Ovis aries: one gene and its partners. The protein of the gene in region 1 purifies or fractionates together with the protein of each later gene. This does not show direct contact. Links are inferred from orthologs where the notes say so. Each region holds a gene or a part of one and is shown in the gene's direction. Other genes may lie near its edges. The genes, in order: RICTOR, FLNA, PRR5L, TUBB, MLST8, FBXW7 and YWHAE.

Region 1 (4,216 bases):
ATTTCCTACAAATACACTAGACCTGCATCATTTTCAAATGCTGCAATAATCTGCATAATTCCTACTTTTATTTTTTCCCATTGTTCTTTATTATTAACGACTGCAATTGGTATGTACAAATAGCTTTTTTTAAAAACAGCAAAAAGAGCGTTGAAACAAGGAATCTAGGGCATTTATTCAGATAATTCATTATTTATTGAACACTTATTTATTATGGACAATGCATTAACGGGTAGCTGGGAAAAGACAGCAAGATATCTCCTGTTAATCAACCTCCAGTCTTATAGAACAGAAAGGAAAGCGTTGAGGAATAGGAAGAGACGAAACAGTCACCCCTCTCTTTAAAGTTAATCTAGTTTTTAATCAGCTGTGCCCCAATACCAAATAAAAAGTTAATAAAAAACAAAGTTAATCTACTGTAAAACAAAGTTGCTGGGTCTGTGGCCAGATGCCTATATAGTGATTAAAGTCTCTACACTTAGTAAGTGTTAGGTTCATCTATAAAAAATATTGGTCCACAACATCTGCACCACTGTTTCAGGAGTTACACAGAGGGAAAACCCGGACGGAGGCTTCTGCCACTACTCTTGGTTCCAGGAAGAAAGGAAACCCTTTCCCCGGGCCTGCAGGCGCCCGCGCGTGCGCGGGAACAATCCCACCCACCGCCAGGGACCACCACCCTGCACCCCTGACTTCTTCATCCTGTTCTCGGGTTCTGCTCCAAGCGGTCAAAAACAGAACTTCCACCCGACCACTTCCACTTAAAGAAGCCAGCCTGGCTGCGTGTGGCTTTGAAAATCAAACGCAAGGCTGCTTAGCACGGAGGTTTGAGCGAGGACGGAGGACAAACTTTTGTTATATGTTAACTTGGTTGGAGCAAAGCGATTCTAGGCAGAATTTAGTTACATTAAAACGGTGAAGTTTTTTTTTTTTTTTGGTATTGTTTTAATAAAATCGTCTTAATTGATAAATAAGGAAGACGGGCTATTTCAGGACTTGAAAACAGTCATCCGGGATGGTTTCAGCAGGTGGCCAGTCCGGCGCATCACGGCCTCCTCCCACCTAGCGTCGGTTTAGATTACGGTTTCCGCGGCGGCTGGACGGGAAGCATCCTCCACGCTGCAAATTCGCATCAATGGGATTCCCCTCGTGGGAAATGCCCCCTCCTGGCGGACGTGCTCCGGAGGGCCGAGCACGTCGCGGCGCCTTCCACCCTCCGTCGAAAGCTCTATCGAGATCCCGAGTCGGCATCCTATTCCCTCCGCGCCCCGGGTGAGCCGGCACCACCCGCTGCCGGCCGCCAGCCGCCGCCGAGAGGCGGGAGAGATGCCGAGGGGCGGGAGAGATGCCGCGGGGGGCAGGCGCGGCGCGCGGGGAGGGGAAGGGGTTCTCGCGCGATTGGGCGAGGTTTCCGGTGTTGTGACTGAAACCCGTCAATATGGCGGCGATCGGCCGCGGCCGCTCGCTGAAGAACCTCCGAATACGAGGTAAGTCTGCTGCAGCCCTCACCCCTGGCCGCCCGGCAACCGCCACCCCTGGCACTTGCCTCCCCCGGGCCCTGGGCGGGTGGAGCGAACCGGGGCGCTGGTCGGAGCCAGGGCTGCCACCGCTGGCCTGGGAGCGAATCGTAACTGGGGCTATGTGTCTGTTTCGCGCAGGGCGGAATGACAGCGGCGAGGAGAACGTCCCGCTGGATCTGACCCGAGGTAACGCAAGGCGCTGGCGAGGGCGTCCTACTGGGGAGGAGCCGGGGTTGGGGGCCGCGGGCAGGGACCGGCCCCGCACGGGACCTGCGCGGGTACGAGAGACAGAGCCCGAACCCGAGCCCCGCCTGCCGGCCCGCGGGAGCAAGTCGGGGGCTGTCTTCCCGGACCCATCCCCCTTCCCGGTGCCCGCTTTCCTCTCCCCAAGCCCTTTTCCGGGCCTCTGGGTGCTGCGGTGCCCAGGAGCACCAAGCGGGACTCGGCGGAGTCGCCGACCCTCTGGGTTTTCTAGACCGCGGGGGGAGCGTAGTCGTCCTATCCCGGAGCTGAAGCAGCCGAATCCCAGGGGCGGCCGGAGGGAGGTGGAGGCTGTTATTTAGGTTGCTAGAGGATGTCTGAGGGAAGAGAGACCACATCCTGCCCTCCCCGTCCCCCAGCGCCGAAGCCGGACCTGCTCGGTCCTTGCCGACTGCGTGATGCTTTTCTCCTTGCCCACCGCCCTGGGGGACCCAAAGCATTGATAAGTCAGTAGCGAAACCCAGAGCCCATGATTTCTGCGAAGTGTGTGTGTGTTTCCCTCTTGTTTCCCTTTCCCGGGCCGCTGAGACTGTAGTTGGCAAAGACCGCCCCCTCACCCTCGCTGCAGGTTCATTGTTTACCTTCTGCAGTGGCGACGGGTTTGTTTACACCTTCGGAACTGGGTAAACCCGGGTTATATTTTTAAGGATCTAATCCGGCTACTGCCAGTTTATTTTCATCAGTCACCATAACTGGAATTTATTCAATATCTCGCCGAGGATTTGGTAGTTATATACAAGGTTTTTCTTTTCTCATCCACGGTAAACAAGATTGAGTCTATTGATTCCGATGAAGTCGTTTCACACCCGCTGTAACTTAGCGTGTAACCTGGTTCAGCTGTATAGAACCAGTTTCCTTTTTGAGATCTGAAAAACACTTTGGGAAGTTTTAAAAAAAAGTCCTTTTAAACAATCTATATAAAACTTTAAAACTACGTTCTACTTGACATAATGACTTATTTACAGTATTTGTTAGATGCGAGCTTATTGTTGAGGTTCATCTATCTAAAGCATAGCGCATTCTCTAATTTGTTTTATTTTGTATATCATAATGTAAGATTACTGTTTTGTGGACTGAAAGGCTAGTTTTTAATTCAGCTACAATAAATTTTTGTAACGATATTTTATTCCAAAAGTTCAGGGACTTAGTTTCGGGTGAACAAGGTACTTTTGCAGAGTTTCTAAAATAAAATAGGGCTTAAATAATAAAAATGACAACTAATTAGGTCACTGATGCACTAAATTAGAACTTTTTTCAGCAGATAGGGTTTGAATATTAATGTAGAGAGATATAAAACTTTTGACTTTTGTGTAACAGTTTGGAAACTTGACTAAAACACACATATGAAAAGTCTGTATAAAATACGTGAGGGAAAAGATTTCCTAGTTAATTGCCTGACAAAATAAGCAAGATTCCCACAGGGCTCAATTTAGCATTTGAGTTTTGTAAAAGATGTAGTTTTAGTGATTTAATTTATATATGTGCATATATGTTTTAGATGAAAGTGAGAAGACCCTTTATTTGATAGATCTTGGGTTTAATTTGTGCATTAAAAATCTGTTTGAATGTGGTACTAGAAAATGAATTATACTTGTGCTTTAAGTTGACTTTGCTGATCTCCTATATGTAGTAGTTTGTCTGGTGTCAAAATTTGGGGTAGTAAAAAAGCTTATGTACAAATCTGAGTTGATACCTTTTCATTTACTCCAGTTTTACTCAAGTACACAGATAGCTGTATATTTATTATTTAGAATGCTATATTCCCTGAGTGTTTAGTAACCGTCTCTCTATAGGTGTTTCTAGGATAATATCAATACAAAAAGTGCAGAAAACGCTTTCCTGGACAAGATGTATTTCAGTTTAGAATGAAGTATGCACAGCTAGCTGAAACTGCAAAAGCAATATGCAACTAAGAGTGAGAGGACAGGAGAGAACTGTTCTTAAATCTTAAGGAAGTCTTGAATAAGAAAAATAATCTGAGTTAGATTCATTGTATAGTGACTCTATTGTTTGAGAAATTGCTATTCTGACAAACACTCATTGTTAGAAGAAGGCTTGTGGATCTAACATGAAAGTTCATGAGGAATTAAGCTTCTGTAATCATTTGAGAACTGTGGGGCAGTCTGGGTTGCAGCTGAAGGGCAGCTGTTTGTGGATTGGATTACGGCATGTTTTAGATAAAGTTTGAGTAACCGAAAAAATTTCTTAAATGCTGTAAGGCAGTGTTTGCTCTCATTCTCATTATTTTTATGTAACCTTTGAGAAAGTCATTGTGTAGCTGTCTAACAAAGTTCATTATAAAATAGAGGCCATGGTTATTGTAATTCCTAGAGGAGCCATCAGTGTGTAGTATAAAGTCAAATGGTTTTGAGTTGTAACTCAGCTGGATGATTGGAGGCAGTTTATTTAACCTTCATTAACTTTTGGTTTCTTCA
Region 2 (3,500 bases), on another chromosome or scaffold:
GCCAGGGATGCCAGCAAGAGGCCACAAGCACATGGGAGCCTCTGGAGGCTGGAGGCCTGGACCTTGGCCAAGGTGGCCCTGGAGAAAGCTAGAGGATGGCAGGGGTTTGATGACTCCGTCCAGGGGGCCTTGGGGTCTGAGATGACAGGCCCGTGTCCCTGGGCCAGGGGATAGGACCTTGGGGACCAGGGGCAGGGTCAAGACTGGGGCCGAGAGAGCGGTCTTGGTTTACCTTGGCCGCCATGTGCCAGCGGAGGCAAAGAGCCCAGTTGGGGAACCGAAGTCACTTCGGTATCAGTTGCAGGGCTGGCTTGGGCTAGGCTGCTGGTGGGTGGGTGGGGCTTGAGGGGAGAACCTCAAGGGGTGGGGGGCTTCAAGGATGGAGCAGCCCAGACCTGATGAAGAGCTGGGTGCTGGGCAGGGAGCACGGGCAGTTGGGGTCAACTGAGGTTTGGGCCCAGGCCACTTACTAGATGGTGGGTCCAGGTTCCGAGCCAGGGAGAGCAGGTGTGGCTGTGTATGAGGTGAGGCCTCCCAGTTGGGGGTGGGCGGTGGGGGTCCAGGCGTAGTGTTCTGGAGCCCCGCAAAGTGGGCACCCTCAGTGGACAGTACAGTTCAGGGGCTGGCCAAGTGGCCGGCTGGGGACCCCCTTGAATTTGGCCCTGGGGTGGGTTCGGTGTTGCCAGCTGCTTCCCTGGCAGGGGCCAGGCTCCAGAAAGCACTCGCTGCCAGGCCTCACGGTCCCCAGCCCCCCGAGCCTCCATGGCTGAGCCCAGATCATAACGTCACTGTCCCTCCCCTCTGCTCTCACCGCCTCGCAGCCGTGGCTCTGGCTTGGGCCCCCTGCCTCCCTGCCCTATGGGTACTGGCCCCCCTGCTGCGCTGCACTGCCTGGGTGCTAACCCCGCTGCCTTCCTGCTTCCCTGCTCCCGGTTCCCTGCCTGCACCAAGCCATGCCCGGCTGCCCCTTCTCTGCAAGTCTCCGGTCGAGCGAGCCTTCTCAGTTGTCAGGAAACTCCGATTGCAACTTCAGGCCCCAGGGGTGGGGAACAAGTGTCACATGCCCCACGCTGCAGCAGGACTCTGCCTCACTGCGTCCGCACACGGCACTGGGGGCCAGGGCATGGCCACAGGGGTGAAGGCAGCCCGAGGCTCAGCTGTCAGTCAGAATGGTCCAGGGCACCACTGGCTGAGGCCAAGTTGGCAGGGGAGATGGCAGCAAATGCTTAGGCCCTGGCAGTGGCCTCGGGGCTTTCCAGGCCCTTCTTCTTCTCAGACTCTTGGATGCCAACCATTGGGCTTTTCCCACATGACAGGGATACCCCCCGAGACAGGACTCCCGGGCTTGAGGTGGTTCAGGGGAACCTTTCCTGCCTTCTGAGAAATCACTCACCATCCCAGCTTGGGGGGCGGGAGGCCTGGCTGTGCTTGGTGGTTGGCAGTAAGAGGCCTGGGCGGCTGACACGTGAATGGCCACGGCCTGAGCACCAAGCTCATGCCCCGGCCCCCCCTTCGGGGACCCACCCTGCCCCACCAGGTGCTGGCATCGGCCCCACCATCCAGATAGGGGAGGAGACCGTGATCACCGTGGACACCAAGGCGGCGGGCAAAGGCAAGGTCACCTGCACTGTGTGCACGCCCGACGGCTCTGAGGTGGACGTGGACGTGGTTGAGAATGAGGATGGCACCTTTGACATTTTCTACACGGCTCCCCAGCCCGGCAAATACGTCATCTGCGTGCGCTTCGGTGGTGAACATGTGCCCAACAGTCCCTTCCAAGTGACGGTCAGGAGGGACTGGGGCTGGGTGGGGGTCTGGGCAGGGACCTGGCTCGCCGCCCCCACGGGGCTCGCGGGTTTGGACAGCCTCGAGCTCTGTGCCTTGCTCTGCAGGCTCTGGCTGGAGACCAGCCCACGGCACAGCCACCATTACGGCCTCAGCAGCTGGCACCACCATATACCTACGCCCAGGGGGGCCAGCAGACCTGGGTATGGCTTGCCCTGCCGCCTCCAAGCCCCCCCCGCCCTCGGGGACACTTGGGGATGGACCAGCTGGGTGTCCCGTGAGGCCCTGTTCCACTATCTTCGAGGGAGGGACCCTGGAGCCTATCACTCGGGACTCCCTTTCCCTCCAGCTCCTCACTCAGGCCTTCTGTGTCTCCGCCCCCCGCAGGCCCCAGAAAGGCCCCTGGTGGGGGTCAATGGGCTGGATGTGAGCAGCCTGAGGCCCTTTGACCTTGTCATCCCCTTTACCATCAAGAAGGGCGAGGTCACTGGTGAGTGCAGCTGGGAAGGGGCTAGGGAGCCACAGAGGCCGGAGGGTGCCCATGGGCTGCCCTGACTCAGGCCCCCCTTTCCCCTGCAGGGGAGGTGCGGATGCCCTCAGGCAAGGTGGCACAGCCCGCCATCACTGACAACAAGGATGGCACCGTGACTGTGCGCTACGCCCCCAGTGAAGCTGGCCTGCACGAGATGGACATCCGCTATGACAACATGCACATCCCAGGTACGTCCACTCAGCATGCCAGACCACCTCCTGGGGGGGCAGGCTGTGGGACAGACTTGGGGATGACGGGAGGCCCTGGTCCATGTGGTCCCTATTCCTGCTACAGGAAGCCCCCTACAGTTCTACGTGGATTATGTCAACTGTGGCCACGTCACAGCCTATGGGCCGGGCCTCACACATGGGGTGGTGAATAAGCCTGCTATCTTCACCGTCAACACCAAGGATGCGGGCGAGGGTGAGCAGCCCCTCTCATCGTGACCTGCCTGATTGAGGCAGGATGCCGTCATCTGTTGGGGGGCTGGACACAGGAGATGCTCCCCAAACAGGGCTCCCTACCCCACCCCCAGCCTCTGCTTGCATGGTTGGTGCAGTGTCCCCGGGCACAGTTTGTACCCTCACTCACAACTCTCTCCAGGGGGCTTGTCCCTGGCCATTGAGGGCCCCTCCAAAGCAGAGATCAGCTGCACCGACAACCAGGATGGGACGTGCAGTGTCTCCTACCTGCCCGTGTTACCTGGTGACTACAGCATCCTGGTCAAGTACAACGAACAGCACATCCCAGGCAGCCCCTTCACTGCCAGGGTCACAGGTAGGGGACGGCCTGCAGCGGTGACAAAGGAGGCAGCTGGCGGTGGGGGGGGGGGCGGTCTCCCTCTCGGTGCCTGGACACACAGTGACTGACCCCTGCCAGGTGACGACTCCATGCGCATGTCCCACCTGAAGGTGGGCTCTGCAGCTGACATCCCCATCAACATCTCCGAGACGGACCTCAGCCTGCTGACTGCCACAGTGGTGCCCCCCTCAGGCCGGGAAGAACCCTGTCTGCTGAAGCGGCTGCGTAACGGCCACGTGGGTAAGAGGCTGGGCTGCAGGGCCTTCCGAGAGGGAGGGAAGCTGGGTGGGGGGTAGTTGCATATCTTTCCCTGGCTGACAGCCCCGCTCTGTGCCTAGGGATCTCGTTCGTGCCCAAGGAGACAGGAGAACACCTGGTGCAC
Region 3 (4,225 bases), on another chromosome or scaffold:
CAGGCATGGCCATGCTACTGCCGCCTTTCCACGTTGCAGCGGTTGCCCGGAGCTGAGCCCTGGCTGCCTCTGCATCCTGGCTTGGGTGCTGGAATCCCACTGTCCCAACTGCTTCCCGTTGTGTCGCAGTTGGCCACCTGCCTCATCCCTGAGGGTATTTATTGGCGCCCAGCTTCCCTGAGGGACCTCAGGCCATCGTGAGCAGCGAGACTGAATTTGGGTATTCCAGACCCTGGGATTCCAGCCATCCTCATGCCTTCTTCCCGTGAGTCTAAGCAAATCCCAGCTGTAATGTGAGCATCTAACTTGTTATTCCTGCTTCTTAAGCAATTTTTACAGGCCAAGTAATGTTTCGTGAATTTTATATTGTTGTCGTTTAATTGCTCAGTCATGTCCGACTCTTTGCGACCCCATGGACTGTAACCCAACAGGCTCTTCTGTCCATGGAATTTTCCAGGCAATGATACTGGAGTGGGTTGCCCTTTCCTTCTCCTGGGGATATTCCTGACCCAGGGATCGAACCCATGTCTCCTGCATCTCCTGCATTTTCTGCATTGACAGGTGGATTCTTTATCACGGAGATGCCTATTAACTCATTTAATCTCCATGTTAACCCAAGGATGATCTCAGCTTAACAGGTGGGAAAACTGAGGCTTGGAGAGGGAGAAAAAAAAAAGAACCCTCATAATCTATGAGTAGTTAGTGGCAGAACCAGGATTTACAGACAGAAGGCTCATTTTGTGAGCTTGCTCCCAACAGAGTGTCTGGTCTTTGAGGGGGTCCCAGGGATGCTCTTACATATTAATTCATCTGGCATCGCCAACTGCAGCTGACGTGCGACACAGCCAGGCGACAGTCCGGGCCGGATGCCCCCTCATGAAAGCCAAGAGTTGGAGTGTTTGAAGATGAGATAGCTGCGATTCTTTTCAGCTCTAACTTGTGGTGAGCCTGTGAAAACTGATAAGAGAAGAGGAGAGCGAGAGGAAGGGTCCCTTGGCAATTCGCTATGCCTGGAAGACTGGCCTGGACCCGATCGGTCACTCCTGATGGGTGTCCCCTGCTCCCCACTGCAGGGCACCGTGGGCTGGGAGTCAGAAGTTGCTTTCCCAGCTCTGACCAGGCTGGGGGCTGTGATTAGCGAAGTCCACAACGCGCCAGACCCAGGAGGGCACTGTGGCCTTGTTTCCCGTCCTCCTGTCCCCAGGAGTAGCACAGCAGTGGCTGGTGACACACGCCATTGTGTCACACACACAGGGCCTCTTTGTTCCCTCCGTACACAGAGAGGAGGCTGGAACAATGGCCTTGAATGGCACTTTGCTCTCCCTTCTCCATCGTTACACTTGTTTTTTCAGTTCTGGCATCAGCTAAACAATTATTTCCTGCAGGGGGTGTCAGCTTTTTATCTTTTCCGCCTGTTCCTCTGCCAGTCCTCAGGGCCCAGGGCAGTGGGAACTGAGTGGACGGTCAGGCCCAGGGACAGCTGGGCCTCATCGAAATGTCATCTTCTCGGGAGGCCGAAGGGCTGTGGTACCTCACCTGCCCTACAGGAAGGAAGGAGACCAGGTAACACAGAAGCAGCTGAGAGCTTCTGGCGTGGAATAGGGGCTGGAGGGTATGGCTGAGTGTCCAGCCCGAGGAGGGTGGGTTTCTGATTTCCAGGCACCCTGCTGGCTTGAGAGCCACTGTCTGCTGGTAGACAGAGAAGCAAAAGCTGCTGAGGTCACGTTCCGCAACCCACTGAGTAGGCAAGCATGCTTCCTGTCAGACCCGCCCACTCAATGCCTCTGATGTCTCTGGGTGACCAGCAACTTCAGGGTCTTTGTGGGTTTATTGGGAAGGCTAGTTCTCTAGTGATAGCTGCCCTAACTAAGCTTTTACTCTGTGTATTGCATATGTGTACAGATGACTATAGGTATCTGACAGTATTGCTAGCAACTAGAGCAAACAGTTATAGCGTGTGCTTTCCATTCTTGCTTGATTCAGACCCGGGCAGTCTGGTTCTAGAATCTGTGCTTGCATCACCACGCTTCTTGGCTGATGTCCTTTACAGCAAACCAAGGTTATTGTAAGCTTTCACTTTGAGGGGCACTGACCTATAACAGTAGCTATATGTAACTATGTGTAATGCTAACTCCTGTGTCAGGGAGGTTCTAAATGTTTTCCATCTGTTTCCTCATTTATTCCACATAATGAGCTCTATTTATTCCACATAAACTCTGTGGGGTGGGTACTTCTATCATCTCCATTTTATAGATAAGGAAAGTAAAGTACACGGACATAAAATATCTTGCCCAGGGTCACACAGCTGTGAGGTGGAAAGGTCAGGATTTGAACTCAGTTTTCTCTAGAGCCTTATGTGAATCTGAAGCCTGCCTTACCCTTCGGCTGGTTGGGAGCTAGTCCCCTTCTCTGGATCACGAGTTCTGGAGGGTGGTGCTCTGATCCTGGCTTTGTAGAACGTCAGCACTTGACTTGTCAGCTCCAGGAATGCAGAAGCTCCTCAGTGGTTTGCCTGTTGTTCCTTAGCTTTTGCCCAGTTCAGTGAAGACGGAATTGCCCAGTGGTGACAGGGAAGGAATTTGGAATGATAATAATTGCTCAACGAATGCCACTGCTTATTTGCCCAGCAACAGGCTAAGTAAGTGAACAGACTGAATAAGCAGAACTCACGAGGTATATTCAGGAAGCCAGCTTTATTTGTGTCTATTGTTGCCTCTAATTTTTTTGTGTGTATATGCTGCCCTACTCTTTCCTTGCCATGGGATGAAAATTAGGGAAGCTCCCTGACTTCTTCTTTATATACATACACACACACACACACACACACACACACACACACACACACACACATATATATATTGCTGCTAGATGTTATGATGGGCCTTTTTATTTTATTTTTTTAAGTCTTGACTTCATTTGTTACAAAATTTTTTCTGTTTTATTTTCTGGTATTTTGGCCAAGAGGCCTGTGGGATCTTAGCTTCCAGACCAGGGATCGAACCCACACCCCGTGCACGGGGAGATAAATCTGTTAACTACCTGGGAAGTCCACTGTCTCATTCTACTGATTACCTTTCTAGTTCCAACACTGGTTCAGCTCAGTAGCTGATACATCGAGGTCTGTGCAGTAACCCAGACCTTCAATATTGCATCCAGATGGAGACTAGTCTTCCTCCCCGAATGGCTGGGCCTGGTGGGGGTTAAACCTGCTTCTTTGTCTCCTGATACGATGTTGCGGATACTACAGAGAATGTCCTCCTTCCTTAACTTTGGGGATTTCTAAACTGCCAGTCCCTCGAAGCAGGTGCCTAAGATTCTTTGCTGAGTCCCCAGCATCTGAGCAGTCTGTCTGAGTCAGCGAGGGCTGCCAAAACAAATAGCACAGACTAGGTGGCTTAAACAACAAAAATTTATTTCCTCACAGTTCTGGGGGCTGGGGGGTGGAAATCAAGGTGTCCGCAGGGCTCATTTCCCCTGAGGCTCTCTCCGTGGCTCACAGATGGCCTCTTCTCGCTGTCCTCACGTGGCCTTTTCTGTGTGTGTGTACCCTGGTATCTCTTTGTGTGTCCAAATCCCTCTTGTAAAGATTGGACTGGGGCCCGCGCTAAATGCCTCTTTTTGACTTAATCATCACGTTAAAGCCGCATCAGCAAAAATAGTTATGTTTCAAGGTTGGGCACAGGGCTTCAACATATAAATTTGGGGGTGCATAATTCAGCCGTATCAGACATTCTCGGCTTCTTTCTCCACTCTTCCTGGTGATTGTCTTAAAAAGATCTATACAAGGACTTCCCTGGTGGTCCAGTGGTTGAGACTCTGGGCTCCCCATGCTGGGGGCCCGGGTTCTGGCATGGTGATGCAGGAAGAGGTGGGACATGGGGGTTATTCTTACAACAAATTCCTACCAAGGAGGGCTGAGTGCTGGGGTGAGGGGAGCAAAGGGACACATTCCATTCCTCTTAGAGCTGCAGCCCAAGGAAAGGAGCAATTCAAACGCAATCTTGCAGAAAGACAGAAAAGGAAATTAGGGAGGGATTGGGGAAGTTTGGATACAGATCAAGTATTCAGTTATTAGAGAATGATTCATTTTTTTGTAGGTGCTATTAGGGTATTATAGTTTAGATTGGAAAATAACCCTCAGCTTTTTTTTTCTTTTTCGGAGACGCAAGCTGAAATGTTTTGAGTTGAAAGGTCACACTGCCTATAATGTGCTTGGAAACAGGAG
Region 4 (3,974 bases), on another chromosome or scaffold:
CCATGGGATTTTCCAGGCAAGAGTACTGGAGTGGGTTGCCATTTCCTTCTCCAGAGGATCTTCCCAACCCAAGGATCGAACCCGGGTCTCCCACATTGTAGGCAGACGCTTTACCGCCTGAGCCACCAGTGAGCTAATCCTTCATCCTAGCTCCTTTGGTGGACATTTAATATCGCTCAAGTTGAATTAATCCCTGAGAAGAAACATGCCACTCAGATTTGAGCTCATCCATTTTTTTCCCATCACCCTCCCTACTTTTATTTTAATCCCGAGGTTCTTGAAAGATTGCAATGGTCAACCACCTCTCAGTGAAATCAGCGAGTTGAAAAAACACTGACTTCATCAAAGTGCCTATCAGGTATCTCACCCCACAGTTCGCCTCTTGACAAAACTGTGTTAAACGCTGCTCTAAGGCGCAGATTCCCCACATGGACGGAGACTTCCGGCATATCTGCTTCTCTATTCTTGAACATACCTTCCAAACAATTACTTTTTATACTGAAAAGTCCTTGATGCAATTTTGTTTCTTTCTAAATATTATCGTTAGAAAGCTCCCAAGGAAATAGCAGGAAGGCAATGCCCTCCTCCTTCCCGAGATATCTGGGGGAGCCGGAGCTCACTGGAGTTCATGCCAGTTGGGTCACCAGGGACCAGCTGTTAGATAGCAGATCAGGGTGCCGCATTTCTCCCCGTTTTCGCTGAGCTAAGCAGTCCTGTCTTCCCAAGAGCTACCGCAGCGGGGAGCTTTCAGGGCGTGCCCTCACTCCACCTTCCAAAGCCTGGCACACCAGGGTTCCCAATTCCTGTACCCTGCTAAAACTACTCTCTTTTGATACCAGAAGAGTCAGGCATAGAGGAAGGAACCCTAGCGCCAGGCCGTTTTTCAGTCAAAACACCTAAACCAAAACCCCCAGACCCAGTACCCACCCATTCGTCCTTTCATTTTGCAGCGTGGACAACAATAGAGAACTACAACTCCCAGGCAGGACTGCGCTCGTCCAGCAAGGACCAATGGACTTGTGATACAGGACCGGCACGGACTAATCAGGGCCAGCCTAGTGAGGCTTTGTCTCTCCACCGCGGCGCGCGGAGAGTTCTCCCGCCTCCCGGCCCCCGCGCACGCGCGCCCCGCCCTGCCCGCCTTTCCTCCCGCGCCCTCCCCTCTCCTTTCTCCCTCTCAGAACCTTCCTGCCGCCGCGTTCGGACCTCGCTGCTTCAGCCTCCGGGTCCCGTTCCATCTTTTCACCCTGCGACCAGCAGCAGAGAAAAACTAATTCCGTATTATTTTTTTGCCCCGTACATACTTTGAGGCGAGCAAAAAGATTAGAATAAATTTTAACAATGAGGGAAATCGTGCACATCCAGGCCGGTCAGTGTGGCAATCAGATCGGTGCCAAGGTAAGGATTTTTAACCTCTTTTGACTGTATTTATTTTTAAGGAAAAAAAAAACAAATCCAAACAGGTATATTATGACGGATGGTTGTAGAACGTTTGCATCTTCCATTCTTAGTCCAGATTTGCCCCTCAAAACTTTTATATATAAATGCACCTTTGAACCTTAGGATTTGCTTTTGAAAAATGAGGAATTATTTTTCTTGGCAGGCTTATTTTGGGGAAGCTGTTAAAAGCACCCTTCAGGGTTAGGGGGCGGGAAAACCGAGTTTCTGTAAAATTTTACTTAGAAAGGGGATCTCCTAACGGTCCGAGGACCGGGGAGCGAGGGAGATGCGGAAACGGCCCGAGACAAAAGCTGGATGAGGTTTTCCCCATGTGCATCCCCCTTGGCGGGGCTTCGTGGGGCTAACCCAGAGGGGGGAAGGGGCGAGGATGGCGGGCAGCTGCCGAGAGGTCAGATCCAAATGTAGGGGCGCGCTGAGCCAGGTGGGCTGGGCGATATCCTTTACAAATGATCAGGAATCTCCGGGCGCTCGCGATCCCCAAGGGGCGGTCCCGCAGTTTTTCGTGCATGGAAGGCTAATATGTGCTAGACTAATTTGTTCCTTTTATTTCCCCTTAACAGACTCTTAAGGGCGTGGACAGATAGGGAGAAAGGGCGAGGAAGGAAAGGGAGTCCATTCTTTGAAGGGGTTCCTCAGAGCTAGAGAATAGGACAAAGGAAGAAAAACCTCATTTAAAGCAAGGGGGTTAAAAGCTAGCAAAGAAATGAAATTTCGAGGCCAAGGGGGAGGGTTTTTTTTTTTTTTGCGCGCGGTTACAGTGTAGCGGGGGAGGGGCAGGGAGGAAGTGCGGCTGCTACGTTGTAGCAGAAGGGCGGGACCCGGGCGCCCCTGGCGCGCTGGGACAATGCGGCCAGGCTGGCCGGCGGGGGGCGCGCGAGCCCGAGCCAAGCCCCGCCCCTGGCGCGCGGAATTCGCCCTTCGGCCCCGCCCTCGCGCGGCACCTCCCTTTGTCGGCCGCCTGGCGCGTGCGTGCGCCGCGGTCACGTGCAGGGCGGGGTGGGCTGCTGCAGTGCCTCCTTTTCTTTGCACCCCTCCCCGCCCCGTCTCTTTGTGCCCAGGGTGACTACCTCCATCTACCCACCCCGCGCAATCCCCGGACCCTTTAAGCCACACAGCATCTCACGTCCCAGGCAGTGAAAGCTGCCTTTTCCCCGAAGGTGCATGTGGCTAGGGGAAGGGTGTGGCAGGCAGAAGAAATGCTAGATCTTTGGGGAGGGCCCGCCACAGGCGAATCTGGAGCTAAAATGGCAGTAGGGGAGCATAATTGGCTGCACCCTGAGATGCTGAAGACTCTTTGCTCTTCCCTGGCAGTTCTGGGAGGTAATCAGTGATGAACATGGCATCGACCCCACCGGCACCTATCATGGGGACAGCGACCTACAACTGGACCGCATCTCCGTGTACTACAATGAAGCCACAGGTGAGGGCAAGAGCCCGGGAAGCAGGGGTCCCATCTCTCCCACTTCTTTGGGGTCTCTGCCTCCCCGGGACACCTTTTACCCCCTTTGAATGAATCTATCTACACTCACTGGAGACCTTTCTCGCTTTTCCCAGTGTCTCTGCTGCCACCTGGTGGCAGTGTCTGAAATCACACATATGGGTCCCCGGCTCTCTTGGCCCCAATTTATTTATCTCTATGTCTTCCAGTTTTCACTCTTCTACTTTATTTCTTCTAGGTGGCAAATATGTCCCTCGTGCTATCTTGGTGGATCTAGAACCCGGAACCATGGACTCTGTTCGCTCAGGTCCTTTTGGTCAGATCTTCAGACCAGACAACTTTGTTTTTGGTGAGTTAGGGAAATATCAATAGATAGTGCTAATCGAGTTATTTGGGTGCAGTGAGAGTTAGAAATGATTGTACTTGAGTTTATACAGACTTGTGTTTTTAAATCTAATGGAGAGTGGTGGTAGTAATTTAGATAGCAAATTATATAGGGGCAGATGTATCATCGGGGAGTAAGAAGGAAGATAAATCCACTGGCCTTAATCCAAAAGTTGAAAGGTAGAAATGGGGTTGTGTATCTTTCAAACTTGACTGAACAAGTTTGCCTTTTAACCCCATCACAGGTCAGTCCGGGGCAGGCAACAACTGGGCCAAGGGCCACTATACAGAGGGAGCCGAGCTGGTTGACTCGGTCCTGGATGTGGTTCGGAAGGAGGCCGAGAGCTGTGACTGCCTGCAGGGCTTCCAGCTGACCCACTCACTGGGTGGGGGTACTGGCTCCGGAATGGGCACCTTGCTCATTAGCAAGATCCGTGAAGAGTATCCTGACCGAATCATGAACACCTTCAGCGTGGTGCCCTCACCCAAAGTGTCCGACACTGTGGTTGAGCCCTACAATGCCACCCTCTCCGTCCATCAGCTGGTGGAGAACACTGATGAAACCTACTGCATTGACAACGAGGCCCTTTACGACATATGTTTCCGCACCCTCAAGCTGACCACACCAACCTACGGAGACCTGAACCACCTCGTCTCGGCCACCATGAGTGGAGTCACCACTTGCCTCCGC
Region 5 (4,235 bases), on another chromosome or scaffold:
AAAGCCTTTAGGGGCAGGTCTATCATGAACTGTCTTGGCCATGGGAAGCAGAGGGGTCTGTGGGGCCCTTGATGGACAATGTCAAACAGGGAGCTGGCTGTGAGCTGGAGACAGGGAAGGAAGGACCCGGAGCAAGGAAGGTACTGAAATCCCTGGAGAGTGGGCAGGAGCCCCAGGGACAGGGTGGACACAGGATCTCTGGAGGCTGCCAGCCTTGAGGGGAAGGCAGAGAAAGAGAATGAAAGCGGGGGGTAAGAAGCTAGCAACAGTCACAGGAGCTTTCTAGGAGCAGTGCTGTCAGCCACTGTGTAGACAGACGTAGCAAGATGCATGAGAAAAGTATGTGCTGCGTTTGGCAGTGTGAGATGGCCAGTGACCTTGTGAAACTCTCACTGGAGAGCTGGGAGTAAAACATGACAGCTGACAGCGAGTCAAGCTGCTAGTGAGAAGTGAGGCTGGATTTCTGAAAGGGTGCCGTCTGGAAGGATGGTGTGGAAATGCTGAGGGAGGGACTTCCCTGGCAGTCCAGGGGTTCAGGCTTGGTGCTTCCACTGCAGTGGACACAGGTTCAATCCCTGGTCGGGGAACTAAGATCCCGCATGCCACATGGTGCACAGACAAAAAATTAAAGAAAGACAAGAAAAAGAAACGCTGACAGGAAGGAAAGAGGGAAGATTCAGGGAGGAAGGTTGCCGGGACCAGGGCCTGGGTGGATAGGCAGGGGACATGGCCTTGGTCAAGGGGCCAGAGGAAGGAAAAGGGGTGCAGCTCAATTTAGAAGCCTGGTGGGAAGATGCCCTGGGAGAGGCTGTCGCAAGATTCTTTTTATTTTTTTTCTGAGGCCACGTGTGTAGAATGTGGGAAGGCTGGATGGAAGAGAAGCCGCGAGGGACCCCAGTAATGGACGGGTCACTGGGATTAGTGAAGGGACCTGAGGGTCCGATGGGTCTGCACAGGCCTGACAGGGCCCAGACTAGGGGTTGCCTGATGTAGCAAATAAAACTACAGGACACCTAACCACACTTGAATTTCACGCAAGCAACGTAGAACTTTTTAGTATAAGTATATCCCGTGCAATATTTAGGCTGTACTCAACAAAACACGTTGCTTACCTGAAATCAAATGCAACTGGATGTCCTGTAAATTACCTGGGAATCCTAGTGGGCACCAGACGGATGGGGGGGGGGGGAGGAGGATGGTACCATCCAGCCTAGGGAACCGCTCTCGGGAGGGTGGGGTCCCCGAGAGGGGAAAAGGCTGGGGTCGCTGCTTTCGTCCCGGGGCCTGTACCGCTTCTTGCCAGGAGACAGGAGCCTTCTACCCCAGGGCTTCAGTCTCGTCCCCGCCACCCCCTTCCCTCGCGCCCCTTGGTGTCGCCCTACTAGCCCATCGATAACTCGATGCTCTGCCTTTATCGACCTGCTCCGGCTCCGCTAGCCGTCCTGGGCCGCGGCGGAGCGGGGAGCCGCCTGAAAGGTACGGGGGGCGCGGGACGAGGGCTGGAAGGCGACATCCAGGGGCCGGGAGAGCGCGCCCGGGGGGCGCTGGCTCCGCGGGACAGAGTCAGGGCGGTCGGCGGAGCGCAGGGAAGCTCGAGGGTCCAGCCAGGGAGCTCCGCCACGCCGCCCCACAGGGCCCGCCGCAGGCCCACTACGCACGCGCGGTCGCCGCGCTCAGGCTTTGCTCGCGGGCCAGTGCGCAGTCCTGCGCACGCGCGGCCCGCCCCTGCGGTACCGCGGCGCCCGCGGCGCGACTGCCCCCTGCAGGCCGCTGGTGGGAGGGCGTTCCGGCGGCGGCTCTCGGGGCGGGGGACGGAGGCAGCGGCTCGGAGCGCGGAGCTGTCCCTTGCCGGTTGCCCTGAACCTCTCCGCGCCTCGGTTTTCTCCGTGTCTAAAATGGGGATGATTTCATTATTCCCCAGCACCGAGTAATCTGCTGTAACGTACTTAGGACGTAGGGTATTCTCTAAACACTGCACTCCCTATCTCTGCTCTAGATGCTCTGATCTCTGGCCCCTGCGGGTCAGACCTAGTGCCCTGTGTCGCTCGGAGCCCTTCGGCAGCCACACCATGAATACGTCTCCAGGCACAGTGGGCAGTGACCCCGTCATCTTGGCCACTGCAGGCTATGACCACACGGTGCGGTTCTGGCAGGCCCACAGCGGGATCTGTACGCGAACTGTGCAGCACCAGGACTCCGTATCCTCCGCTGGGGCGATGGGGCGGGTGGTGCCGGACAGGATGCCCGGTGGGAAGGACGCGGCCCTGAACCCGCCGGGGTGGAGGCCTTGGAGGCCCCTGTTGGTCACCCTCCTTAACAGACCCAGCAGGTGAACGCGCTGGAGATCACACCCGACCGCACCATGATTGCAGCTGCAGGTACCCTGCCCTCCACCCCAACCCCTGGTTTCTCCTAGGTCCGTCGGCACAGCCTCACTTGTTTGGTCTCTGCTCCTAGGTTACCAGCACATTCGCATGTATGACCTCAACTCCAATAACCCCAACCCCATCATCAGTTACGATGGGGTCAACAAGAACGTCGCGTCGGTGGGCTTCCACGAGGATGGGCGCTGGATGTACACGGGCGGGGAGGACTGCACCGCCCGCATCTGGGACCTCAGGTGTGGGCACGGGGGGTGGGTGGGTGGGGAGCAGCTTGCTGCCCAGGTGGGTAGGGTGAGGGCCAGCCCAGGAGACTGTCTATGCAGGTGACTTCTTGAAGGCAGGTGAGGAAAGCAGGTAGGGCAGGGAGGCAGACCCACAAAGACCCCCTCCCCCCCACCCCGAGCAGATCCCTAGCCTGATCCCACAGAGGGGTCTGGAATGAGCTGTACCAAAGAGCAAAGGAAAGGGTCTCTCGGGGAGGAGGGGGGCACCGACGGCCACGCACCACGGACGGGGTGTGTCCCCCCATCTCGAAGGTCCCGGAACCTGCAGTGTCAGCGAATCTTCCAGGTGAATGCGCCGATTAACTGTGTGTGCCTGCACCCCAACCAGGTGAGGGGGCCGCCTGAGGCTGGGCATCCTGGGGCTCTGGAGGGCAGGGGTGCTGCCCGGCCTCACCTCCCTGACACCTCCTCAGGCGGAGCTCATCGTGGGTGACCAAAGTGGCGCCATCCACATCTGGGACTTGAAAACCGACCACAATGAGCAGCTGATCCCGGAGCCAGAGGTCTCCATCACGTCCGCCCACATCGACCCAGACGCCAGCTACATGGCTGCTGTCAATAGCACTGTGAGCCCCGGGGAGAGGGTGCAGCTCGGTGCCCTGTTCTTTAGAACCCTGTTCCTGCAGGTGGGCTCATGCCCCATGTGTCCCTGTGGCCTCTCCCCTCTCCTCCCGAGTCCTGCTTCCCCAGCCGGGGCTCCAGCTCTGACCTAGCCCCTAGAGCCAGAACCCTGGGGGTCATGCCCAGTGCAGCCTCTCGCCGCCGGCCATGGCCCATGCGGCAGACGGGGCCTCTCCACCTCCATTCTTTCCAGTTGTCCACTTCCCTCTCTCCTCTTGGTTCCAGTTTCCCTCCTCTCTCCTGACAGTGGCTGGAGCCTCTCTGACTTCCTTCCCCTGTGACATCTCCCTGTCCTTCAGCAGGAGCAGCCTGACCACCTCCTTCTCCTAGGTTAACACTGAGATGCCCCGGGCTCCTTACCAGGGCCTCAGGACCCTGCCATCTGACCCCTGGGCTCCTATCCAGCCTCCTTTTCTCCCTTTAATGTCCATTTGATCTCAGCGAATCAGTTATCCCTCGACATCTCCAAACTGTCCACTCCCAAGCCTTTGCCCTGAAGTTCCCTGTGTCTGGCTGCCCTCATCCTGTCTTGTTCTGCACATTCCTGTTGGCCAGGCGCATCCTTCAGGAAGGCCAGGCGCATCCTTCAGGAAGGCCAGGCATGACCTCCTGCCCTCAGCCCATCAGGCGTGGCCCTTGCTCAGGGCCGGGTCTCCCAGGTGCTCCTTGTCACATATCCCCGGCCCCCAGGTCCTTGTGCGTAGCCGCAGTGCTGGGTGGCAGCCCCTGGATCTAGGCCTTGCTGCTGGGTATCCTCCCCGACCCATCAGACTGGAGGCCCCGGCCTCCTGTGACTTCCCTCCTCCCTGGCAGGGGAACTGCTATGTCTGGAACTTGACCGGAGGCATTGGCGATGAGGTGACACAGCTCATCCCCAAGACCAAGATCCCGGCGCACACCCGCTATGCCCTGCAGTGCCGCTTCAGCCCCGACTCCACGTGTGTGC
Region 6 (4,077 bases), on another chromosome or scaffold:
TTGCATCTGCAGATGAGGATTTAAAATTCTGTGCAGCAGACAGTACCTCCAGCAGGCGAGTAAAAGGTTACTGCATTATTTGCTTGTTTGTTTTCACAGCCTTTATCTACAAAAGGTTTTGTAAAGATGCAGTGTGAAGTGCATGCCTGGTTTTCGACATTCTGGAAATTGATTTAAGTTTACATGAATTTCAAAAGGGCAGTGCAAGGTGAAGGAAGAGGCGATGCTAGCTCTTTTTAGATTTAAACCAAAGAAACTGAGCATGAGACATACGCAAATAAAGAACCTACAGAAAATAGGAAGTTTTTTAATGCTTTTTTAAAAACATTAAAAAAATTTTAAATACATTTTACAATTTTAAAATACATTTTTAATACAAGATATTTTTTTTAGTTCTTAGACTTCTTCCTCAAAAAGAATGCTGTTAACAAAGACTGATAATTGTGGGTCTATGAATGTTCATGAAGTTACATTTGTTTTGAAGTCTAATTGTTTGGGAAGAAACTATAATTTTTTATCAATGTAACCCTCTCTTCTCCTGGAAATTATAAGGTGGATTATAATAACATGATGTGTGTATATATATATATATATATCTTTATATATTATTGGCAAAAAATCCTAGAGGATGGCTAACATACTTAACAGTGTTTATGTTTTCAGGGTGGTTTGTGTTTTTTCAATCTTTTTAATGAGATGCAGATAAACAGGTGGGAGAAGATTTAGTATCAAAGCAACCAGGTTTTTGGTGGCTTATCATCTATTATCAATACCTGTCTATAAAGTCACCCACCCTTTCCTTCTCATTTTAACTCTTCTGACATTTATGATGGCAGGGACCTCCTTGGATTCTCTTTCTTAGTTGCTCTATCCTTATCGACACGACTGTCTTTGATATAGTATTTTATTGCTCCGTAATTCTCAAGTTCAAGTGCAGTATTGAGAAGGAATTTTTTTACTTTGGCTATCAACCACCATCCTGCTCTCTTCAAGCCATACTCAGAGATTATTATTAGCTACTGTCTAAATTTTGTTTAAAAAATAGTTATGCCTATGTCTTTTTTCTTTTAGATTGAATAACAAGATTGAAAACAATCCTATAAATTAATCTACAATATAGAAGTAAAATCAGCTGTTATTCTTACTTTGAGCGTTTGGCAGGCTTCCTGAATTGTAGAGTCAGAAAGGGTCAGCAGTTCTGATTGGTAAGTTAAAGAATCCGTCCAGTAATTTGCTCCCTGTTGTTTCTCAAAGCAATGCAGCAGCAGTTCTTTTCCAGATATTGAGCGGTTCTTGAACTGAGTGTATGGGGACAAGCAAGGGTGGGGCTCATTCCTGTTGGTTGTTGAGACAGTGGGCATTTACAGAGGGAACAGGTTGGATAGGCTGAGCCGGAGGAGTAGGCAAACAGATCTAAACTGATGGAAGACAGAAAGAGTGGTTAGTATAATTTGGGGATATTTTATCTTGAGTTTGCTCCTTTATTAAGTACTTGGGCTTTAATATAAAATAGTTTGAAATATTAAAGCACCTTACCTTCTTTCTAAGGAGTAGCCGGGAGACTTCTGTTTTTAATATTGAGTTCTTCTTGACAATGAGTTTGTGGCTGGTATCTTCTGTAGGGAAGCTATTGTTTTATTCTTTTTTTTTAACAGTGTTTCTTTCAGCCTGAGGGCTGCAGAATGAGGCAGTTAGCCAGTTTTGAGTATACATGGGACATTACTAGTTCTGAATTTTTAAGTTAAATTCTTGTCTGATGAACAAGTCAATGTGTGGCTGTGGCTGCAGCGTTGTTTCTTCCTTAATGAAGAGGTTGAGCCGTTCGACCTGCTGCTCCGATCTGTTCTCTGGTAGCCATACATCAGACCAGTTGCAGAGATTATCCACCGAATGTCCTAGACAACCAAAGGTAACTACATAGATTTATTTCAAATAAAAATATGCAATTAAAATTGATGCCTTATAACTAGGACCAAATAATTAAAAATAAAAGATCAATTAAAGATGTTCTTCGCAGTTTTCTTGACCTTGCAGTAGCTATCCAATATCATTTTGTCATCATCAGATTGTGTAGCAATGGAAATGCACTGCAGTAATTGATTTTGTAATAGGATCAGGTGATTTACTAGCTGCACTGACAACCACTTGCTTGCTCGCTCTGAGCAGTAGAGCTCTCTAATGGATGTTGTGATTGCAGCCCGGAGTTGCTGGGAGACTGCTGGCCACTTAAAGCAGCAGCATGTCTTTTTAAAAATGAATAGTGAATTTTTCTTTTTTCTTTCCTGTGCTTTAAGTTTTGGGTGAGCTCAGTAAATTTTATACTTAGTTTGAGTGCCCCCATGAAATGTTAGAGATTAGGTGTTATTTCATCCATCAATTCATCAAAAGTAGCCTTGAATATGATGAAATATAATCTCTGCTCCCTACTCCTAGTTGAGCGTCAACATATGTATCAACATACTTTGGTGTTGATCGTGAGAACACATCTCTAAACTATAACAATTTATGTTAACCTGTGTCATCTAAGTGAAACAGAATATTCTTCACATATGTACATTTCACCAGCTTCAAACTCTAGCTATAATTGTGATACTGGCATTGTGGTGAGTCCTTGTACTGGGGGTTTGTTAGAGCTGTCTATTCTTTTCTGGTCTTCTGCTTTCTTAGTGTTCTCATAGATGTAACAACATTTAGAAAATCGAGTTGGACCAATTCTAAGGAATGTTGATGGAAACATAGACGCTATTTTAAAGTAGTGTTTAAGAATATAAGTATTTAAAAACCTGTTATCCACGATTATGAATTTTCAGTGATTATAGTTTAATAATCTTTATTTTCATCTTTTATGCATTTTAAAACAATTGATTATAAATATAGAAGTATAAGACTAAAGCTTAAAATAGAACTAGTGTTCTGTAAAAGACTTTCAGAAACTGGTGCCTAAGATTTTGACGACTTTAAAGTTCTGCTTAGGGCTTTACATGAGGAAGGAAAATTATCTCCCCTCTCTACATTCCTCACCAACTCCTCTACTTGTTTAACTATCTAACATATGAAGTATTTTGTACAGAACTTGATATATAAAAGTGCTGAATTCTCTTTCCTTCCCTAATTTACATTATTTAACCATGTATTTGTTTTTGCCATGATAGAGATGCTATTTCTTTCAACCACATCTAAAACATTTACATTAATTAATCAGTGTTAGTAATTTGCTATAGAAGAAATTGAGCATAAAATTGCCATTGTATATTATAGTCAGACCTCCCTGGGAAGGCAGCTTTTCTTTGTAATGTACTTAAATACTTGCCCTTGAAAGATGAAAATATTTCCAGTATCACTCTGCACTTTTCCTAAGTCCAGATACTTAAAAGTTTAATTATAGAAGATGGTAATATAATTTAAACACTAGAGTTTATAATCTTTTATTATTCAATGGTAACAAGTTTATTGCCCCCTGCCCCCTCCCCCCCAAAACCTCTATGAACACTGATAACATGAGGATAAGGGTGTGAATATCATATGAGATTTCATCAAAGATAATGTTGAAATTTCATATATATTGAAATGTTGAATGGTAGATTACCAACAAATCAGTCATTGATATAAGTTTCACTGAAGTGGTGTACATTTAAATAGGAGGGAAGGAAGTCAATACCGAAAGTGTTGACTACTTTTTTAGAAGATTGGTGATAACAGATAGGAGAGAAGTGTGCTTTGTAATTCAGCAGTATTTCATGTGAAATAAATAGGTAATTCAGTTGGTGAGGTTCTAACCCTAGTGGAACTGCCTTTTATTAGAGCTCTAGATCAACCATTAAAAGACTTGGATTTAATCAGACTCCTGTCACTGATCTACTTGATGACTTTAATCAGTTTATACTCGAACATTTTTAAGGTTCCTTAAGCATGCTTCTAAAATGTCCACTAAAAAGAAATCAATGTACTCATTCCAGTGTGAGGTATTATAATACTTGACCTGGAAGCAAGTTGAAGTTAGGAGGAAGGATGAAATTTCTTAAGCAGGTTTTAGGTGATATTAATGTTTTTCATGTTTTTTTGATGGCGGGGGAGCAT
Region 7 (4,245 bases), on another chromosome or scaffold:
CATTGTGGTGCCTTCTCTCCTTGCATATCATGAGCTCTAAAGCGTGGGCTCAGTAGTTGTGGCTCATGAGCTTAGTTGCTCCGTAGCATGTGGGATCTTCCTAGACCAGGGATTGAACCTTTGTCCCCTGCATCGGTGGGTGGATTCTTATCCACTGTACCACCAGAGAAGTCTAAGTCTCTTATTTTTTGGTTAATGGTACTGCCACTTCTTATCCCAATGACTCAGGGTGGGAAGGTAGAAGGTTAATTTTAATATTTTTCCCTTCCTAATATCTTCACATCTGATTAGCTACAAACTCTTGTGGTTTCCCTCTGAAGTACTATTCCTATTTGTCCTTTCCTTCCCATTTTCACTGCTATCATCTATGACCTTTCAGTGGTATTAATAGCCTGATAATTTATCCTGTTCTTTAATCACTGCTATACAATATTTAATAATCATCTTAAAAAATAATTATGGTGTCATCCTCCATGCAAAATCATCAAAAAATAGCTTCCTTGTGCCCACTGGAGTGCAAACCTTTCAGCTTGCCATCCAAGGTTCTTCATAATTTAGTTTCAACCTTTTCATTCCACAATTAGAAAAAAATTTTTTTTAACATATTTGGCTGCCACTGATCTTAATTGTCCTATGTGGGATCTAGGTCCCTGGCTAGGGATGGAACACGGGGTCCCTGCACAGGAAGTGTGGAGTCTTAGCCACTGGACCACCTGGGAAGTCTCCTTATTCTACATTTATTGCAGACTTTACCACACATTTTACGTTCTGATTACCTGAGCTTTAGTCTTGCAACATACCGCATACTGTATTCAGTACAAGGTGCTAGGAATCCACTGGGAAGCAGTACAGACCAATGGATTCTTTCCCATTCCTGCCTTCTGGATCTCATTCTGATCTCGGCCCTACTCTTCTGCACCTTGGACTCCAGACCAGACTTTTCTAAGAACTTCTCTGTTCCTACCCCATGGTGGGCCTATGGGGGAAAAAAGGCCAAGGGAGAGGAACAGAAAAAGACTGCAAAGTGCGAAGGTGAAGTGTGAAAACTGGACCTTCCCTTATCAGCTACAGCAGGGCCCTGAATGAGGCCCAGGGCTGAGCTTGGCTGAGAAAACAGGAGGAGTCAGTTTCAGAGAGGATGGCTTGTCATTACAAAAACCTTCACAGCCTCTGGTTTCTCTGCCCGCAGTCCAGGCTCTGCCGCTCACGTTCTTCTGGAGCGGTCCAGGCCGGCCTCACCTGGCCTCCCTCGTTCCCTCGGGGCGCTCTCCCTCCCCGCAGAAGCAGTTCCCGCCTCAAGCGGCCGCTGAGCTCTCGGAGGAGGGGCGGCTAGCTGTTTCTAACGTCCTCGGGCGCGGAGCACCCGGATCCGCCCCCCGCGCCAGTTGCCAGGGAGCGGTTGCCATAGAGCTGAGCAGTTGTCCGCGTGCGCAGGCGGAAGTCCCGGATTGAGGCGCCGCCATTTTTCCTGCCCGGACGCGGAGCGAGAGGCTGAGAGTCGGAGACGCTATCCGCTTCCATCCGTCGCGCAGACCCTGCCGGAGCCGCTGCCGCTATGGATGATCGGGAGGATCTGGTGTACCAGGCGAAGCTCGCCGAGCAGGCTGAGCGATACGACGGTGAGTTGGGGGGGCAACGGGGGGCTGGAATTCTCGGACCCTCTGCCGCCGCCCACAGAGGCTGGGAGCGGGAGACAAAATGGCGGCATCATCGCCGAGACCGGCCCGGGGACGTGGATTCGGGAATCAGGAAATAGCCTGTGGGCTCCCAGAGCGGTAGGAAGCTCCAGGCCCAGGAATTTGACCCCTTGGGCGTCCCCATCTGCAAACACAGGAGAGCTAGGAGGCCAAGGCCATGGGGTGGAGGAGTTGGTTGTAAAATGGCGGCTGGGGGGGAGGGCGAGTCCTGGGGCGGGGGAGGGGGAGGAGATGGCGGGTGCTGTCTCCGGGCGAGCAATCCCCAGGGGAGCTTCTGGGCCGGTTTTGGGACGTGGTGAACAATTGGGTGGCGTGATGAAGGAAGAAACACCCGCCACATGGGGGAGAGTGGCAACCGGGAGCTGGAGCGCGGGCGCCTTTCAGGGAAATATGGCGGGTGGGGGCGGTGGCTTTTCCCCGGAGGCCCAATGTGGGGCGGCGGCTGTGGAGTCTCACAAAAGAGGACCCTTACGAGCCGAGGGCTTCTCCGGGCTTGTGGTGGGGGGCAGCCTTAGCCGGGGGTCGGGGGAGGAGGGAGAGAGTGGGAATCACTGCAGTTCATCCTTGGGCGGAGGCCAGCTGAGATGCTACGATCGGATTTCCTTTCCTTAGGCCGGCACACCTTGTAGTGGCGTTTTTTAGGTTTCCCGTTCAATCTCGCTTTCTTCTAGGGAGCTCTAGAGAAACGTCCCTCACGCTCCTTCTCCTCAGACTTAGCCCGGAGAGCTCGAAGTTTCTGTTAGCATTTTCCGTAAACTGTAGAACGTGGAACAGGAAACAAGGAGCCCCTGGCTCGCTCTCGGTGCCTTTCCCATGCCTGTGCCTCAGTCCACCGGTATTTAAAAATGGTGACTTTCCTGTTCATACGCAGCATTATGACAAATGGAATGACCTGGTGAAAAATAAAGTGTTTTCAAATAACCTTTAGTGGCTATTTCGGTTGACTCCCCTGGCTTAGAATGTGTGTTCTTCCTTCGTTGGGGATCTTTACCAGTCCCAAGGTACTCAGCAGCGACTTGGGTTTTTCTATTAAGAACGTAAGGGATCTCGGCAGATCCTGTTTTGTTCCCTCCATTTTTAATAAACGGTTTTATGTACAGATTTGAACAATTTTTCTCCTTTCATTGCTCCTTTGTTTTTAAAGGTGCCATAGTCATTTTTCAGAACTTTATTGAGATGGCCCTTGTGTCTGTTCGGTCAGTCCCAAACTGCCGCTTTTTTAAATTGCCCCTCCCGACTTGGGTCCCCCTCCCCCCATTTTGGACCTGGTTACTTGAATTGACTCCACATCCGTTAAACTAGCATTATCAAAACAAAAAATCATATATATGGTTTTTATGTTTTTAATGCTGTTGTGGGATGAGATATGTCTGGATTCAGGTGTCATTGATCTTGAATTAAGCCACTTCAAAATGCTGGCGTGGGGACTTTACTTGAATGCCTTTGGTCACGTGAATAGCCTCAGGGCTAGTCCATGTGTGTCATTCATTAGGATTTGGGAATTTGAAAATTAGGAAAGAGCTCGAACTCAAAATTCAGTAAAGATCTCTAAATTTCGTTTCATAAATCTTTAAATTGCTCTTTGTATTGAACAAGATTCTTGTTAGTCGTAGGGGGATATGATGGGGAAGTACAGCTCAAGGTCAGATTTGTCTTTATGTCGGTATTTAAAAGTCAAAACAGCTGTAGGTGTACTTGTAATGAAAGTTTTTTTCTTTTCCTCTTGCCCCAAACAAGTTCACCTCTTAATCTATCACTGCCCTTGGGAAGAAACTCGAAATTATATTGGAATGTTTTCTCTTCTTTAGGGATTTAGTCTCTGAGTAAAACTGCTGTGATCGCCAGAAAGGTGATCTTGTTTCTGCAGGACTTTATGTTTTTGTTTTGCACATTATGTTGAACCTAACACTACACTTTTTTTTTTTAAGAACTTGTTTTAAAAACTGTTTGGGTAACTTCAAGTAAGTGACAGTTCAGTGTGAAATCATATTTTGGAATTGAGTATTGAGCGTTTTTGACCAAAGGCTTAATTGCTTATTCAACACAGGACTGTAGAGCCACATCCTTAACGTTGATTAAATGTTAGAGGTGTCCTTCAGGATCAAAAGGTGGTGTGAGGGGCAGGTGGGATATAAGATCTACCAGGTAGCGGAACTCCTTTGATTTTTAGACACAAAATTGGAAGGGATTCATTGGAAAGGAAGAGGAAGACAGTCATTAGGAATCAGTCTGTACCTGTGTCCATTCCTTAATTGGGTGTAATAATTCAGTTTTGTTTGTGGTAACAAAAAATGATTCCGTGGTTTTAGTTATCAATTTATCAAGTATGGGGAAGGTGAAAAATACATTTGATGATTTGGTTTGGAGGAGTTGGGTATAAATACTGGCTTTTCTTCTTGTTTCTGCAGTACTTTATGTTTTTATTTTGCACATTATGTTGAACCTAACACTACACTTTTTGGAGAATTGGAATCGATTGATAGAGACTATTTAATGGTACTGGAGGACGAACTAAGCTGCCTTCAGGAAAAGGACAGTTTGAAATTGC

What was found.
Region 2: the proteins of RICTOR (region 1) and FLNA purify together in Homo sapiens (affinity purification with mass spectrometry; 3 studies listed by BioGRID and IntAct, with this or other methods). This does not show direct contact. The link is inferred for Ovis aries from reciprocal best matches to the Homo sapiens genes RICTOR and FLNA.
Region 3: the proteins of RICTOR (region 1) and PRR5L purify together in Homo sapiens (affinity purification with western blotting; 3 studies listed by BioGRID and IntAct, with this or other methods). This does not show direct contact. The link is inferred for Ovis aries from reciprocal best matches to the Homo sapiens genes RICTOR and PRR5L.
Region 4: the proteins of RICTOR (region 1) and TUBB purify together in Homo sapiens (affinity purification with mass spectrometry; 3 studies listed by BioGRID and IntAct, with this or other methods). This does not show direct contact. The link is inferred for Ovis aries from reciprocal best matches to the Homo sapiens genes RICTOR and TUBB.
Region 5: the proteins of RICTOR (region 1) and MLST8 purify together in Homo sapiens (affinity purification with western blotting; 14 studies listed by BioGRID and IntAct, with this or other methods). This does not show direct contact. The link is inferred for Ovis aries from reciprocal best matches to the Homo sapiens genes RICTOR and MLST8.
Region 6: the proteins of RICTOR (region 1) and FBXW7 purify together in Homo sapiens (affinity purification with western blotting; 3 studies listed by BioGRID, with this or other methods). This does not show direct contact. The link is inferred for Ovis aries from reciprocal best matches to the Homo sapiens genes RICTOR and FBXW7.
Region 7: the proteins of RICTOR (region 1) and YWHAE purify together in Homo sapiens (affinity purification with mass spectrometry; 4 studies listed by BioGRID and IntAct, with this or other methods). This does not show direct contact. The link is inferred for Ovis aries from reciprocal best matches to the Homo sapiens genes RICTOR and YWHAE.

What each region holds. Positions count from the first base shown.
Region 1 is NC_056069.1:35,534,399-35,538,614, forward strand, and holds the start of RICTOR (rapamycin-insensitive companion of mTOR), read left to right. Parts: upstream 1-1,416; 5' UTR 1,417-1,438; coding exon 1,439-1,487; intron 1,488-1,658; coding exon 1,659-1,706; intron 1,707-4,216. UniProt on the Homo sapiens protein: Component of the mechanistic target of rapamycin complex 2 (mTORC2), which transduces signals from growth factors to pathways involved in proliferation, cytoskeletal organization, lipogenesis and anabolic output.
Region 2 is NC_056080.1:80,094,839-80,098,338, forward strand, and holds part of FLNA (filamin-A), read left to right. Parts: intron 1-1,537; coding exon 1,538-1,785; intron 1,786-1,892; coding exon 1,893-1,988; intron 1,989-2,172; coding exon 2,173-2,275; intron 2,276-2,364; coding exon 2,365-2,505; intron 2,506-2,611; coding exon 2,612-2,740; intron 2,741-2,920; coding exon 2,921-3,094; intron 3,095-3,196; coding exon 3,197-3,358; intron 3,359-3,456; coding exon 3,457-3,500. UniProt on the Homo sapiens protein: Promotes orthogonal branching of actin filaments and links actin filaments to membrane glycoproteins. Anchors various transmembrane proteins to the actin cytoskeleton and serves as a scaffold for a wide range of cytoplasmic signaling proteins.
Region 3 is NC_056068.1:65,580,331-65,584,555, forward strand, and holds the start of PRR5L (proline-rich protein 5-like), read left to right. Parts: upstream 1-1,425; 5' UTR 1,426-1,563; intron 1,564-4,225. UniProt on the Homo sapiens protein: Associates with the mTORC2 complex that regulates cellular processes including survival and organization of the cytoskeleton.
Region 4 is NC_056073.1:27,415,843-27,419,816, reverse strand, and holds the start of TUBB (tubulin beta chain), read left to right. Parts: upstream 1-1,174; 5' UTR 1,175-1,341; coding exon 1,342-1,398; intron 1,399-2,772; coding exon 2,773-2,881; intron 2,882-3,137; coding exon 3,138-3,248; intron 3,249-3,528; coding exon 3,529-3,974. UniProt on the Homo sapiens protein: Tubulin is the major constituent of microtubules, a cylinder consisting of laterally associated linear protofilaments composed of alpha- and beta-tubulin heterodimers.
Region 5 is NC_056077.1:2,254,256-2,258,490, forward strand, and holds the start of MLST8 (target of rapamycin complex subunit LST8), read left to right. Parts: upstream 1-1,435; 5' UTR 1,436-1,476; intron 1,477-1,996; 5' UTR 1,997-2,069; coding exon 2,070-2,198; intron 2,199-2,326; coding exon 2,327-2,378; intron 2,379-2,457; coding exon 2,458-2,620; intron 2,621-2,920; coding exon 2,921-2,996; intron 2,997-3,081; coding exon 3,082-3,234; intron 3,235-4,102; coding exon 4,103-4,227; intron 4,228-4,235.
Region 6 is NC_056070.1:5,397,794-5,401,870, forward strand, and holds the start of FBXW7 (F-box/WD repeat-containing protein 7), read left to right. Parts: upstream 1-1,277; 5' UTR 1,278-1,909; intron 1,910-4,077. UniProt on the Homo sapiens protein: Substrate recognition component of a SCF (SKP1-CUL1-F-box protein) E3 ubiquitin-protein ligase complex which mediates the ubiquitination and subsequent proteasomal degradation of target proteins.
Region 7 is NC_056064.1:22,439,095-22,443,339, reverse strand, and holds the start of YWHAE (14-3-3 protein epsilon), read left to right. Parts: upstream 1-1,445; 5' UTR 1,446-1,555; coding exon 1,556-1,619; intron 1,620-4,245. UniProt on the Homo sapiens protein: Adapter protein implicated in the regulation of a large spectrum of both general and specialized signaling pathways. Binds to a large number of partners, usually by recognition of a phosphoserine or phosphothreonine motif.